2 linked regions of the Rhinolophus ferrumequinum genome follow. The protein of the gene in region 2 purifies or fractionates together with the protein of the main gene of each other region. This does not show direct contact. Links are inferred from orthologs where the notes say so. Each region holds a gene or a part of one and is shown on either strand. Other genes may lie near its edges.

The links. Proteins that work in one complex are often made in the same cells at the same time.
Region 1: the proteins of TMPRSS6 (region 2) and HJV purify together in Homo sapiens (co-immunoprecipitation; 3 studies listed by IntAct). This does not show direct contact. The link is inferred for Rhinolophus ferrumequinum from reciprocal best matches to the Homo sapiens genes TMPRSS6 and HJV.

The regions. Positions count from the first base shown.
Region 1 is NC_046305.1:50,221,753-50,228,837, reverse strand, and holds the start of HJV (hemojuvelin), read left to right. Parts: upstream 1-4,074; 5' UTR 4,075-4,259; intron 4,260-5,482; 5' UTR 5,483-5,572; coding exon 5,573-5,669; intron 5,670-6,029; coding exon 6,030-6,604; intron 6,605-7,073; coding exon 7,074-7,085. UniProt on the Homo sapiens protein: Acts as a bone morphogenetic protein (BMP) coreceptor. Through enhancement of BMP signaling regulates hepcidin (HAMP) expression and regulates iron homeostasis.
Region 2 is NC_046293.1:9,672,343-9,680,228, forward strand, and holds the start of TMPRSS6 (transmembrane protease serine 6), read left to right. Parts: upstream 1-4,884; 5' UTR 4,885-5,091; intron 5,092-5,097; exon of another isoform or gene 5,098-5,238; intron 5,239-7,886. UniProt on the Homo sapiens protein: Membrane-bound serine protease. Through the cleavage of cell surface hemojuvelin (HJV), a regulator of the expression of the iron absorption-regulating hormone hepicidin/HAMP, plays a role in iron homeostasis.

The sequences.
Region 1 (7,085 bases), on a different chromosome or scaffold from region 2:
GCATAATGAGTACAGGGTTTTCCTTTAGGGCAATGAAAATGTTCTGGAACTAGATATTGGTGATGATTTCACATTTTGAATGTACTAAATGCCATTGAATTGTACACTTTAAAATGGTTAAAATTGTGAAATTTATGTTATGTGTATTTTACCACAATAAAAAAAATTAGTAAAGCGGAAATCCTAGAAAGATTTTTTTTTTCAGATGTAGACAAAATTATTCCGAAAGTTATATGGAAAGCAAAGGAACTAGAATAGCTAAAACAAATTTTGAAAAAGAAGAATTAAGTGAGAGGGATCAGCTTATCTGTTTTACTCAGGATTTTACCCAAGACTTATTAAAAGGCTACACCTGTCAAGATGGTGTGGTAGTGGCAGAAGGATAAATACACAGATCAATGAAACATAACAAAGGACCCAGCAGTAGACCTACACAAATATGTGCAACTGATTTTTTTTTTTTTTACAAAAGTACAAAAAGTAATTCAATGGAGGAAGAATAGCTTTTTCAATACACATTGCTGTAGAACTTGGACATCCATAGGCAAACAAACAAAAAAACCCTCCCTAAGTCTCAGAGCTTACATAAAAACTAACTCAAAGTGGATCACCAACTTAAACGTGAAGCGTAAAACTTTTAGGAAAAAACTCTTCATGATCTAGAGCTAGACAAAGATTTAACATCAAAAACATTGTCTGTAAAAGGAAAAACTTATAAAATAGACTTCATCAAAATTAAAACACATTTGCTCTGCCAAAGACCATTATGAGGATGAAAAGACAAGCTAGTGATTGGGAGAAAACATGTGGAAACCACACATCTTAGGAAGGAGTACTATCTAGAATAATATATAAAGAACTCTCAGACTCAACAGTAATAAAACAACCCAATAAGGAATGGTCAGAATACATGAAGGGACATTTCACTTCAGAGGATATATAAATAAATAAGCACATGAACAGACATTCAGCATCATTAGCCATTAGGGAAATACAAATTGAAGCCACAATTAAATGTCATTACATACCTATCAGAATGGCTAGAAAAATAATGACAACATCAAATGCTGGTGAGAATAATACAGAGAAGCCAGATCATTCATATATTGCTCGTGGGACCATAAAATGGTACAGCCACTCTGGAAAACACGGCAACACGACGGAATTGAGTTCTACCCAAATAGTTAATAGAGAGTTTTTCCCTCTGCAAGACCTCAAGATAGAAATAAACATAAACCAAATAAACAGAACAAAATCTATGAAGGCACACACTGTAATGGAACTACTTGATGGTCAGAATAGAATTACTTCAAAGTCAATGTGAAATACTCTTGGAGCTGGAAGAGCAGAATCTGTTTGCCTGTGGTTCTATTACAACTCTGAGCTAAGTATTGACTGAGTACTCAAGGTCGATTTAGCAAATGTCTACCTTGCTCTTACTGCTAGCCACAGTAAAAGGTGGTTCCCCGGTGATCCAGTGGCTAGGAGAGGTTCCCTCTCCATCTTTTTTCTTTCTTCCAATTTACCGTGTTAATATAAGACCCAGTCTAATTTTACTATAAGACCGGGTCTTATATTAATTTTTCCTCCAAAAGACGCATAAGAGCTGATGGTCCGGCTAGGTCTTATTTTCGGGGAAACAAGAACCCTGGTCTGTTGAAGAACCCAGGACATTTGTGCTCTAGAGTATTCCCACAGTATGGATTTGCATCATTTGATGTCTCCTGTATTTCCTGTAAATTAGTAGTTAGCTCTAGACTAGAGCTTGATCAGATTCAGACTGAAGGGTTTCTTTACAAGGGTACCTCATAGGTCGAATTGTTTACTCCACCTATGACCAGCAGGACGTAATGTTTGTTGCTTCTCTTGTGATGGACAACAGCCATTGTTGACCATTGCCTAGAATCATTAATTCAGTAGAAGTTACAAGAATGTTGATATTCTAATTATGCCATTCCTTCTTCATTCATTTGCTGGAAATTTTCTATCAAGAGAAATTTCCCCCTCATCTTGAGTTCTCACAGAGAAAAAACAGGATCAATGCTTGATTCTTTCCAATTACTAGCAGTTTTCAAAATAATGAGTTGATCTCCTAGCATTCTCCAACAGTGACTAATAAATTTGTATTTTTAAGTATCACTGTGAACTCACAGATTTAAACATATCAAATATGTTGCTGATAGTGTCCATTTTGACACTCAAATTGCCCATGTTTGGCCAGTGGAAATTATTCTAAAAGCTTCTGAGTCCTTTTAATACCATTTTAACAGTCCGTTGAAAGCTTCCTTGCTTATCTTGGACAATTCCTGTCCCATACCTGAAGTTAGTCATTTCTCCAAGGAGTTCCTTTTAGTGGGAAATAGTGTTTAGATAGCTCAGTCTGAACACTAGGCGTGTTCATTGCTACTGAGTTATTATTTTTAGACCTTTTTAGGATAAAGTTGGGAAATGCGTTAGGATAAAAACACCATGAGCTCCAAGTTATATTTCCAATTTAAATTCAGAATTACAGAGTTTTTACCTACTTTCATCACCCATAAGTCTGTATCTCTTTATTATACACCAAAAATCCTAGTTCACAAAGACACTAATATTAACACTCATTCATTTTACCCCACAACACATCTACAATAGTTTCAGAATAATAATACCAACACTGCCACCAACAATGTGACTACTTTAAAATATTTTCACATTTCTTTTTGTCCTTAGGGTATATCTCACTTGGGATGACATGGTCTAATTATTGTGTTTTGAAGTCACTTAAATAGTTGGACTTGGGGGCATTTTACATTTTTGTGATAAAAGCCTTATGATACGGCCTCATGTGTTTGAGAGAAAAACTACATTTGTCAGATATGTATGTATAATAAAAAGAAGGGACTTGTGTGGGCCTCCAGATTCTGAATTAAATGTAGAGTCAATTAATGCAGAGGCCTTAGTGACACTTTATGAAATCAGCCCTTGTGTTAATTTCACTTGGCAGGTACTAAGAGATGATCCCAGATGCCTATGGCTGCAAAAATATGACATGGCTGAATTCTTTGGGTTCAGTATATTAAAAGGTCACAAGAATGTGTTACTTCACAAAATCATCTTTCTGAGTCTCGTTTTCTCTCAGTTTATCTCACCAAGTCCACTCCCCTGTGACTTAACAACCTTCAGAAAATTATATCCCCATTCCTTCTCCACCTCTTTGCCTCTGTTAGTCTCCCCCTACCCTCGCTCCTAACCACTCAGAAGGGGTGTGTGTGTGTGTGTGTGTGTGTGTGTGTGTGTGTGTGTTGGTGAGAAGGAGGGAATGAAATGGAGGCAGTCGGGGGATAGACAGCTGCCAGGACCTGAGCTGGTGGACTGAAACAAACCCTCATCTTAAACAACTTAGAGCTCAGATTTCTTCTTTGGACAGCTGGCTTTTTCAGTCGTTCTGCAATATTCGGCAAAGATGGGGGAAGGGCTGCGAACTATACCTCTGCTACCGTGTTTCCCTGAAAATAAGACCTAGCTGGATAATCAGCTCTAATGCGTCTTTTGGAGCAAACATTAATAGAAGACCCGATCTTATATTATACTAAAATAAGATGGGGTCTTTTATTAATGTTTGCTCCAAAAGATGCATTAGAACTGATTGTCCGACTAGGTCTTCTTTTCAGGGAAACACAGTATCAATCGTATTTAAAGTCAGCTACCTCCTAGCTATACTCCATAGAAACTAAATGCATATTCAATATAGTAAGAATGACAGCGGTGAACGAAAGGCATACAAATTGCCCACTCTAATTTTTAAAGGCCGGGAGCTCACTATTGACCATGCTGGAGGGCTGCCTGGAGTAGGCAATGACTAGTCTCATACAAGTTGGAATGAGATCTCCGACTTGCCTGTCCTATTTCTGTCCCCTCCCCGCCCCGTGGCACCTTATACTTCATATTCTCTCTAATCCTCCCATCCTCCCCACTCCCACACCCTACCCCCACCAACACTCCTGGAATTTTGGACTTAGCTATTTTTAAAACAGTCAACTCAGTAGCCACCTCCCTCCCCCACTCAGCTGTCCAGTGCTCCTGCCAGCCATATACTCCCCCTTCCCCCCCACACCAGACCTTCTCTGGCTCCCTGACCTCACTGAGATTGCAGCCGGTTTGGAGACCTGGGGGAGACATGGAGAAAGACGGGGATCCCCTGACTGGAGATGACTAACAGAATAGGCAGTCATGGCTGGAGAACTGGATATCAGAGTAATGTGTGACCTCTGGAAACAGTAAGTCAAAATGAACTTGCAATTCCTTTAGTAAGCTTTTGGTTTGAAGTTAAGACTTTCATAAAATTGCAACATCTACCTGGATGTCTCTGGTCCAAAAGCTAGGATCTCTTCCATGCTAAGGTGCCCCAATCTCCATTTCTCCTCCTGTCTCCTTTCTTTCTGGCCTCGGGCCTCTGCCCATTTGAAGTTTAATCCTCCACCTCTCCTCTGGCAGTCTTAGCTCTCTTCTCATCTTGTTACCTCAAGACTTCTGATGAAGTGTCCTTCTTTCGGAGGAGTTTCCCACATCCCCTAGTCTGTGGTTTTCTCACCAAGGCCAAATTTAGCCTCAGATGATTAGTCACTGATACTCTACCTTGCCTCTGCTTAGCAGTGCCCTCCGCTTTCCTCTGAGGGTGGGGGCCACTCCTTGTTGTAAATGATTTCCCCCCACAACTCTAGTCCTGCCGTCGTATTCTCCCTCCGGCATGACTGCTCCCCCCTCATTTCCTTACCCTAAGGAAGCTGGCAGGAGTGAGCTGGCCCCTCCCCAAGCTCTGTCCTCATCCAAAGCCTGAGAACGTCCAAATTTTCAAAGGGAAGATTAATGGAAAGAGTGATTCTTCGGTCAGGTTTGAAATATTCAAGAACTGCAGGCTTGGGTTGCATCCCATTATTCCACGAGAGAGGGGGACTTCTAATTGCAGCTCTCTAGCTTAGATGAAAGAGATTGGTTCCCTTTTCATTTGAATACTGAGGAAATGGCTATTCCACCCTTACTCCTTCTTGCTGAACATTCTGACACATGAAAAAAAGAAATGAATGATCCCTGGTAGGTGTCCCCTCCTGATGGGGAGGAGCAAATAAGAGGTATGTTTCTGAAGTATTTCCAGATCTTTATTCTATTGGGAAACCCACTGGGATGACTGCGATCTGCTCGATCCCCATGATTCCTCCTTTTTTGATATTTCTGCTGTTTGGTAGCTCAGAATGGGGCAATACAGTGGACTCTGCCCCTCCAGTCCACTCAACGTTCCTTCCACCCCCACCTAGGGGTATTGCATAAGGGACCTGAAAGTGGCCACAAGAACAGGGCATAGAGGCTTAACAGCCACACTTACAGTCTGCTTAACCTCCAGTCTGTTTATCCTCTTCCTGATCTTTCCAGATTCTCTTCACATCATCCTGAACAATCTTCACCTCTCCTCTTTCCCCATGCCCAGCCAAATTTCTTTTTTCAGTCACTTACAGGTCGGCGGGTCAAAATTCACTAGGTAGGAGGGCCATCAGCTGGAAAGAACTGGAGCCCGGGGGAACCTGGCTGGATAGGTATGGGGGAGCCAGGCCAGTCCCCTAGTCCGCGGTTCCCCCATGGCAGTCCCCCAACTCTAGGCGCTCTCACTCTCCTGCTGCTGCTCTGTGGACATGGTAAGGCCGGGCTAAGGAAGGGTTTGGGATGCTCCGGGGGAGGCTGTGTGGAGGGGCGGCGTGTGTCAATTAAGAGACGGGTGCTGCTGCGGGCTCACGTGCACCACCCTCAAACAGGAACATACTATTTCCCATTCAATTTGGGGAAGGCCACTAGGAAAGACCTTGATGGCCAGGGACAGGAGATCCAGCGGGTTTACACACTTGCAGCAAAACTGAATGAAGACAGGACTAGGGAGCTGGGGAGTGGGGACGGGCAGACCTTCAGGGGTTCCAGGAACGGATGGAACCCCCTGATGAGAGGAGGGAGAGCAGGGTCCTGGGGGGACCGTCTCACCATCCTCTCCCTCCTACCCTCAGCTAATTCTCAATGCAAGATCCTCCGCTGCAACGCTGAGTATGTATCGTCCACCCTGAGCCTCAGAGGTGGGAGCTCCCCAGGAGCGCTGGGAGGAGAAGGAGGCGGCGGCGGCCGGGGGGCAGGGATGGGCTCGGGCGGCCTGTGTCGAGCCCTCCGCTCCTACGCGCTCTGCACTCGGCGCACGGCGCGCACCTGCCGCGGGGACCTCGCCTTCCACTCGGCAGTGCACGGCATCGAAGACCTGATGATCCAGCACAGCTGCTCCCGCCAGGGCCCCACGGCGCCGCCCCCGCCCCGGGGCCCTGCCCTTCCAGGCAGCGGCCCGGTCCGCTCCTCCGGGCCCCCCGCCCCGGACCCCTGTGACTATGAAGGCCGGTTCTCCCGGCTGCACGGTCGCCCCCCGGGCTTCTTGCATTGCGCCTCCTTCGGGGACCCCCATGTGCGCAGCTTCCATCACCACTTTCACACCTGCCGTGTCCAAGGAGCTTGGCCCCTGCTGGATAATGACTTCCTTTTTGTCCAGGCCACCAGCTCCCCCGTGGCGTCGGGGGCCAACGCCACCACCACCCGGAAGGTCAGGACTCGTGCTCCCCCAGGCCCTCTCGTGGTGCCCCCACGGTACCCCTCCCGCCCACCCCCACTGCTCTTCAGCAATGCTTCTTCCTCAACCACTCCCACATCGGGAACCACTCCCTCCTACCGAACACTTGCTCTTGCAAATCACTTTCCCTTGGTGGGAACTGCACTCAAATTCAGAAAACACTGAACAGAAAGTTAGGGGGGGAGAGCTGAGGAGCCCTGGGTTGGCGTTCCAGAAGGGAACCTTTTCCTTCTCCTGTGGGAGTGGCTCAGCGGGAGGCCAAAAAGGAGAGAGGGGGTTGAGCACGGGTGAGGCAATGCTACATTAAAGAGAACAAGGGATCCCGGAGTGAGGGCCATGCTGGGCCTGGCATCTCTGCGGGAATCAGACCCCTGACTGGGGGAGGGGTGGGGGCAGGATGCCCTGAGCCCACAATGAACTGCTTTCCCTCTTGCCTTCACAGCTCACCATCATA
Region 2 (7,886 bases):
TAGGATGGACCCTCATCCAATAGGACCTATGACCCATGTCTTTGTACAAAGAGAGGGGACACTGGGAAAGACACGCAGGGAAATGGCCATGTGCCCACAGAGGCAGCGATCGCAGTTAAACGGTCACAAACTGAGGACCACCAAGGATTGCCAGCCACCAGCACAGCTAGGAAGAGGCAGGAAGGATCCTCCCTTAGCGCCTTCCAAAGAGCACGGCCCTGCTGACACCTTGGTCTTGGACTTCCAGCCTCCAGAACTGGGAGACAACAATTTCTGCTGTTTTAAGCCACCCTGTTGGTGGCACTTTGCTAAGACAGTCCTAGGACACTAATACACCACCTTGCAGCCTAGAGAGGAGCTCAGCCCCCCTAGACACCTATCTAGACAGCATCTGGCTGGGGCATATAGAGCCCCTCTCCCCCTCAAGTCCCTTCACCTCAACCCCAGGGCCTATGAGTCCCACAATTTCCCAGAAGATTTCGGAGAGAGACACGGTCAGCAGAGAATGTTCTCCATGGTGGGCAGGACTCCCAACTCACCTTTCCCCAACAATGGCCTCCTTGAACTCTGAGGCTTGGCTGACCCACAGGACAGGCTGCCTAGGAGAGGTGGCTCCCCGCCGTCTCGCGACCTAACCTCCCTGGAAGCGTGCCATCACTCCCTGTACTGGATTGAATAATGTTCCCCCAAAACATGGAACCTGTGACTGTGGCCTTATGTGGACAAAGGGTCTTTGCAGATGTAAGCAAGTTAAGAGGAGGTCATCCTGCATAGGCTGGGCTCTGAACCCAGTGTGACTGGTGTCCTTATAAGAAGAAGGAAATTGGTCACGGAGACACAGACACACAGGAAGGAGAGACGGAGGCAGAGATTGGAGTGGTGCTTCTCCAAGCCAAGAAATGCCAAGGATTGCTGGCAACCACCAGAAGCCAGGAAGAGGCAAAGAAGGATTATTTCCTAGAGCCGTCAGAGAGAGAAAGGACCAGCTGACATTTGATTTTGGCCTCCAGAAATATGAGAGAATAAATTGTTTTAAGCCATCCAGTTTATGGTCATTTGCTATGGCAGCCCAGGAAACTGATATACCTTCCAGCAAAGAGAAGACAATGGTGTTCCTGTTCCACCCGCAATGGGCTGTGGGACCTGGGGCAGGTCAACCTCTCCTCTCAAAACCTCAGTCTCTTCTTCTGTTGAGTGGGGACATGTAACTCCCAAGCCTGGACTTGAGACATCTCTGTTAAGGGGCCAGCGTGCGGCTCAGAATTTAAATGCCATACTGTATTATCATCGGAGGAAATGACAGTAACTTATTCATTCAGTCAACCAATGTTTGTTTGTCCTTGTTCCAGGTACTGATCTAGGCTGAGATCCAGCAGGGGACTCACAGTGTAGGGATGGGGAGGGAAAGGTGACTGAGGAAACTGCTTAAGACTAGGCGCTGCCTGAAGGCCTGATAAAAATGCAGCTGTCTGGGTCCTTCAGCCTCTTTGGTGGACAGTCGTGAGCAGCTGCTGTGTGTAGGGCCCCGGGAGGAAGCGGAACACACAAACAGGCGTTGCCATGGCATTTACCTGACACGGCTCACTCAGCATTGTGTCAGTTTGCGGGGGCTGCATAACAAAGTACCAGGAACGGAGTGGCTTCAACAGCAGAAATGTATGGTCTCATAGGTCAGGAAGTGCGAAGTCCAAGATTCAAGGTGTGAGCAGGGTTGGTTCTTTCTGAGGGCTGTGAGGAAGAGTCTATTCCACGCTTCTTTCTTACGTTTGGGTGCTTTGCGGGCAATCTTTGGCTTTTCTTGGCTGGTAGAAACATTACCCCGATTTCTGTGTCTACCTTCACGTGGGATTCTCCCTGTGTGTGTCTGTCTCCAAGTTTCCCTTTTCTATAACAACATTGGTCACGTTGGATCAGGGGCCTCTCCTACTCCAGTACGACCTCATCTTAACTAATTATATCCGTAGCAAACTTATTTCCAAATAAGATCACATCCGGAGGCACGGGGGGTTAGGACTTCCACATACGAATTTGAGGTGACACCGTTCAACATATCACAACAGCTTTTTTGTGCTGCCAGGAAGGCAGGCGGCCCTTGTCCCTTTGGGAGACACCAGGGCTAGTGCTGGCCCAGTGGCCTCCGTCTGAGTGTCACCTCATTTTGAAAATGTCTTAAGAAGTGGGATGTTGAGTAGGTATTTTCTTTCAAACGAAGGACTTCTGTACAATGTCCAGGTCTGTTAGGCAGACGTCAGACATGTCTCCTTTATGTCCCTGTCCCCACTGCCCAGGAACAGGCCTAGATAGAACATTGTAGGTGCTTAACACAGGTTTGTGTAATGAATAAACCAGGAGTCCCGAGTTCAAATTTCATCAGGGCCTTGGTTTCCGCAAATTGGGCCTACGAAGGGCATTGACGAAAGGGTCGTTGTGAGAAGTGAACGAAATAACCCGTGAAGCACTGGGCATAGCACCGAGTCCATAGTAAGTGCTCTTTGCAGCCTCAGCCCGGGCCTGGAAGGCCATTATCCTACGGCCATTGTCACGTGTGAGGAGGACACAGCTGCCCGCCCCCACCCCCAACTCCATCCAAACCTTAAAAAGAGAGGCAGCTAACATTTTGTAAGTGGCTCCCGTGGGCCAGGCACAGCATCTGCAATTTATGTCTCTTCCATCTTTTCACCTTCGACAGCCAAGCTTTATCATCCGCATTCCGCAGATGGCGAGGTGGTAGCTTGGGGAGGTGACACATCTTGCCAGATCACCATCAAGTGCAGGGACTGGGATTTTGGCCATATCCTCTGACTCTCCAACCCCTGGCTGGATCCTTGTCACCTGAGTGTGGTGGAGGCCCGGCCTCCAAGCCTCACCGGCCAGGCCTCCAGGGAGCTTCTCTGTCCCTGTAGAACAAAGGGGCCCAGCGTTGGTGTAAAATGCTGATTCCCAGAGAGCATCGAGGGCTTTATCCTGTGTGTGTGAATGTGTCCCTTTGCTGCAGGGACAAGGGTATCCAGGCCACCCGATTGCCTAGTTGATAGAACGAAGTCTTCTCTCAGCGGCAGGCTGTGCCCCAGTCTGTCTCTCAGCGGCACAGTGTCCCCCACTCATGGCTCTCTGAGCTCTTGGGGCGGTGGCCCCCTTGCCCATGCTTTCAAATGCCTCCCTTTGCATTTTGCTGCCTCCTCATGCCAGCCCCTCCCCTCTGACTGTGGCCGATAGATCAATGATTGGCCAGGCGACAAGTACAGAGGACGTGGATTGTGCAAGATCTTCTGCATTTCAGACTGTCCAGCTATCAGCCTGCCTGGTCCGGGGGCCTGGGTCGTTTGCCTTTCAAAAGACAGAGAGGGTACAGAGGCAGGGCTTGGGGTGTCTTTGACCCTGGCCCGCCTGCCATTCCTGCTCCCATCCTAAGCACCTCTCCCTTGGAAAGTTTGCAATGGGTTGTGGGCCAGGGCCCGGGGAAAGGGGGAGGTTGGAGGAAGGAGGAAAATTACCTGGGTCTGGGGTGAAGGGGAGTGGGACTAGGTGGGGGTTCTCAGTCCCAGGTAGGGGTAATGCCCTTGGGCAGGGGCCAGGGTCCTGGACAGGACTGAACAAGAGGGACGTGCGGGAAGATGCTCCCCACCCAGAATCCCCAACCAGCCCATGGGGCACCCTCCTGCCCTGACCCAGCCCTTTTCAGGTCTGGAGATGGCACACACTGTACGTACAGAGTTCGTACCCAGTGCCTCTGTGCATGGACTCTTATTCCTGATGGACACCCTGTGGACCCCATGTGCCCCCAACACTTGCATACAGCAGGCCCCCGTACAAAGCATACACAGAGGTATGCACATGCGTGTGTGTGACACACGTGAGGTGATGTTGCACAGGCAGTCCTCCTTACCTTCACTGGAAACTCCGTACACGTGCTGACCTAGCCCAGACACATGGCACACGCACACACCTCACACTCACACACACACACACACACACACACACACACACCCCCACATGTCACAGCACTCAGAGTCTCAGATGTGAAACTTCGGGCCTAATTGCGACAAACACCAGTCAGCCTGTGCACAACCAGAAAACCCTGGTGCCTGCCCAACGCGTGCTTTGGAGCAGGATGTGGTCAGACCCACCGTCTCTACCGCAGCTCTGCTCACTAGCACCGCAATTCACATTTGTGAATTTCCATGTTCTACTTCTTGCCACACTTGTGATTTCCATGTTCTAGTAGTCACATGAAAGAATATGAAACCAAGCAGGTGAAATGAATTTTAACAGTATATTTTATTTAACGCAATCTAGCCAACATGTTACCATTTTAACATGTCACCAGTGTAAAAAAATTCTTACTGAGGTATTTGACATTCTTTGTCGGCACCACCTGGTGTGTATCTCAGCCGTGCAGTGATACGTCTCAATTCAGACAGACCCCTCTCCAGAGGCTCCAGAGACACGTGGGGCCAGTGGCCATCAAAATGGGCTACACAGCTCTATAGAATCACGTGGAAATTCAAATAATTTCCAGCTAAACACAAAATAGCACTCTGCACTCCACTCTCTTCTCTCCTGTCCCCAGAGCACATGGCCCAGTCTCCTTTTCTCTCTCGGGCCACTGGCTGCCCGGGTCTCACCTGTCCAGGTAAGGAGACCCGTGTGAGACCCTGCAGGTACCACACAGGGCCCTCAACACAGCCCCCAGTCCCTGGCCCCCCACCTCATGCTCTAGAGGACCAGGGGCTGTAACTAGGCAGGAACGTCACCAGGCAACGGGCCTCGGGGGACAGCTCAGATCTCCTGCACCTGCCCGCCAGCCTCCAGGGTGCCCACGGGGCAGGGCGGGGCGGGGCGGGCACTGCGTGTCTCTTGCCTCCGGACTGTTTACCTGAGCACAGTCACAGTGCTGTCCTGAAGTGAGCAGCAGGCCCATGGAGCCTGGGGCCACAGGCCACAGAGGACAAGGGCCAGACACTCCGGCCATGGCTCTGGGCCATTGATCCAGCCCCAGCTGGCCGGGTGGAGGTGGGGAGACCTTGTCCTGGACAAACAGAGGCCGTGAGGTCTGCGTGCAGGCCCGGCACCCACTTGCCACTCCCAAAGGTAAGTGGGGGCCTCCAGGACAGGGGAGCAGGATCTATGAATGACCCGGTAACAGTGTCCTCTGAGAGCTGGGCCTGGCTCCTTGGAACTTGAGCCGTGTGCCCTGCTCTGAGGCCAGGTCTGCCGCCTCGGCCAGAAAGTAACCAGGTGAGCAGAAGGAGGGTCCATGGAGCTGGGTCTGGGGCAGGACAGGGCGGAGTGAGGCCGGTGTACGGGTAGGTACGGGGCAGTGGAGGAGCTGTGGGTTCTGGGTGCTGGGAGGCCTGGGATTCGGTGGGGCCGGTGGACTCTGGGGCAGGGACAAGGCAGGAGAGAAGCCTGATTTGCTGGCCGAGTACCTCCCAGCACTCTGCAGGACTGGGCATGCTGCCCCCTCCGTTCCCAGGACACGACCTGGGTGGTGTGGTCTGGGAGACAGGCCCAGAGCCCTACACTGCACTAAACAGGGGACCTTTAGCTCCCAGGCTCGGAGCTGAATGCAGCTGGCAGTGTGTGTGTGTGTGGTGTGTACGTGCACAAGTGTTTATGAAGGGGGATTGTGGATCTATGAATCTGTGTCACAGATAGGTGTGTGTACCTTTGTAGGTTTCCATCTGTGTACATCTGTGTGTGAGTTTGTGAGTGTGTTTGTGTGTGTAGAAGGGATGCTCACCCCCCACCCCCACGCACACCCGGGAACACACAGTCACAGTAGCTCATAGCAAGGATTCGCTGTAGGCCTGCGTGGCCTCGCTGGAAGCTCCTAGAACAGAGTCCCAGCTCTGCCTGCTCTGCCCTGCCCCGGCTGGGTGACCTTGAGTGAGCCATTTCATCTCCCTAGACCTCAGTTTCTCCAACCATTAGGTAGAGATGGCAAGGCAAACATCCCAGACTGATGGAGGCTGAGATGGAATGAGGTTTTCAGCATTGCCCAGCACAGGGCTAGCATGGAGGAGGAGGTATAGCCTGGTCCCAGTGAGCTCAGCCCCCAGTGGGCAGATTGAGACCCCTCCATTGGTCAGAAGAGCAGGACGGAGTGAGGAACACGTGCCAGGGTGGGGTCTAAGTGCTCAGATCAGAGGAGAAGCCTCAGGCCCCTATGGCAATTGGGGTAGACCCAGTCCCTCCTGGCAGGGGCTCACTGTCATGGGGACAGAGAAAATGCCCCCAAGGTGAACTATGCATCGATGGGGGTGGCCCAGGAGACGTCAGGGGGCAGTTGCCCCTCCTGGGGCTCTCTGGAGCTTCCAGGAAGGAGGAGGTGAGAGCTGAGCTGAGGTGTGAGTGGGCCATCCAAAAACTGGCCAGGTTAGGAGGTGGGCAGCCTAGGAAGAAAGAAGGGCGTGGTGGGAAAGCTAAATGGTAGGCAAGAACTTTCAAGAACCAGTCTGCGTGATGTTCTTCACCCCAGAGCTGGCAAAGAGCCCTTGATCCGTAACGGTTTTCTACCATCTCCATGACTAGACTTGCTAACTGGTAAGTCCAAGGTCACTGGGGTACAACAGGAAGAAGAGGGCGTGGGGAGAAAGGAGGCAGGAGAAGTTGGCCCCGCCACACACGCACACAGCTCCTGTGTGGGAAGGAGCTAGGATCCTAGCATTCATTCATTCAACAGTGAGGGAGTACCAGGTCTGCTCTTGGCGCAGGGTACACAGTGCTGAACAGAATAAAGCTCCTGCTCCCGAGCCGCTTACAGCCAGTGAGGAGGGTGGACACGTAAGCGTCTCATGCGATTGAGGTCTCAAGAAGTGCTGTGAAAAAAATGGAGAGGAAAAGGGGGTGGTCAGGGAAGGCCTCGCTGCAGAGGTGACATCCCAGCAAAGACTGGGAGACAGTAAAGGAGCAGACCATGAAGCAAACTGAAGGAAAAGCATTGTGGGGAAGGGAACAGCAAATGCAAAAGACTATATATACTTGATATGTTGATAGTCTGGCAAGGAGCTGAGTGGGGGCTGGTACAGAGGGAGGGAGAGGACAGAAAGATGCGAAAGGACCAAATTACCTAGGCCTCTGTGGGCTGTGAGAAGGACTTTGGGCCCTGTTCTAGGTGGACGGGGGCCATGCGAGGCTGGTGAGCGGGGCACGTGGTGAAAAGACTACTCTGACGGTTGTGTAGGAAGGAATTCGATACTGAGGGTGGCCGGGTGACTGGCTACTGCAAGGTCAAGTTCGCAGACGATGCTGACTTAGCTGATGGTGGGAGCCATGCTGGTACCAAGAGAGACTTGGGTTCTGGGGGCATCCGGAAAGTAGAGCCACAGACTTTTCTGATGGACGGGGCCCTTGAAACGATGGGGACGCCCTTGCATAACAGTAAAAGACGGAGCAGTCTGGTCTGGTCATCTTCACACCTGTCAATTGTCACAGTTGTCCATCTCCTGCTGGGCCGTCCACCCCAAGAGGGTGGGAATGGGGTCCCTTATATTCACCAATGTGCCCCCTGTGCCCAGCACACAGCCTGGCACAAAGCAGGTGTTCATCACAAATGCGGTGGCTGGGTAACTGAATCTAAGATCCATGGCTCAAGCCTCACATGTCCTGCTTCCCAGAGGCAGCAAGACGTAGGAGAGAGCACTGCACTGAGAGTCCGGAGCCCTAGGGTTCTTTGCATTCATTCCTTCATCAGGCATTCATTCATGTGGCAAGCCCTGTGCTGGGTCCTACAGGGAATCAGGAGTGAAAAAGATACAGGCCTATTTTCTTGTGAGGAAGAGAAATGAAGGCCAAAGGAACATTGTTGATCTGACCAAGGGCTGCCCAGGAGAGGAGGTGACTTACTACTTAGGGCCTGGGGACCCGTCGCCAGGCAGGTGGCC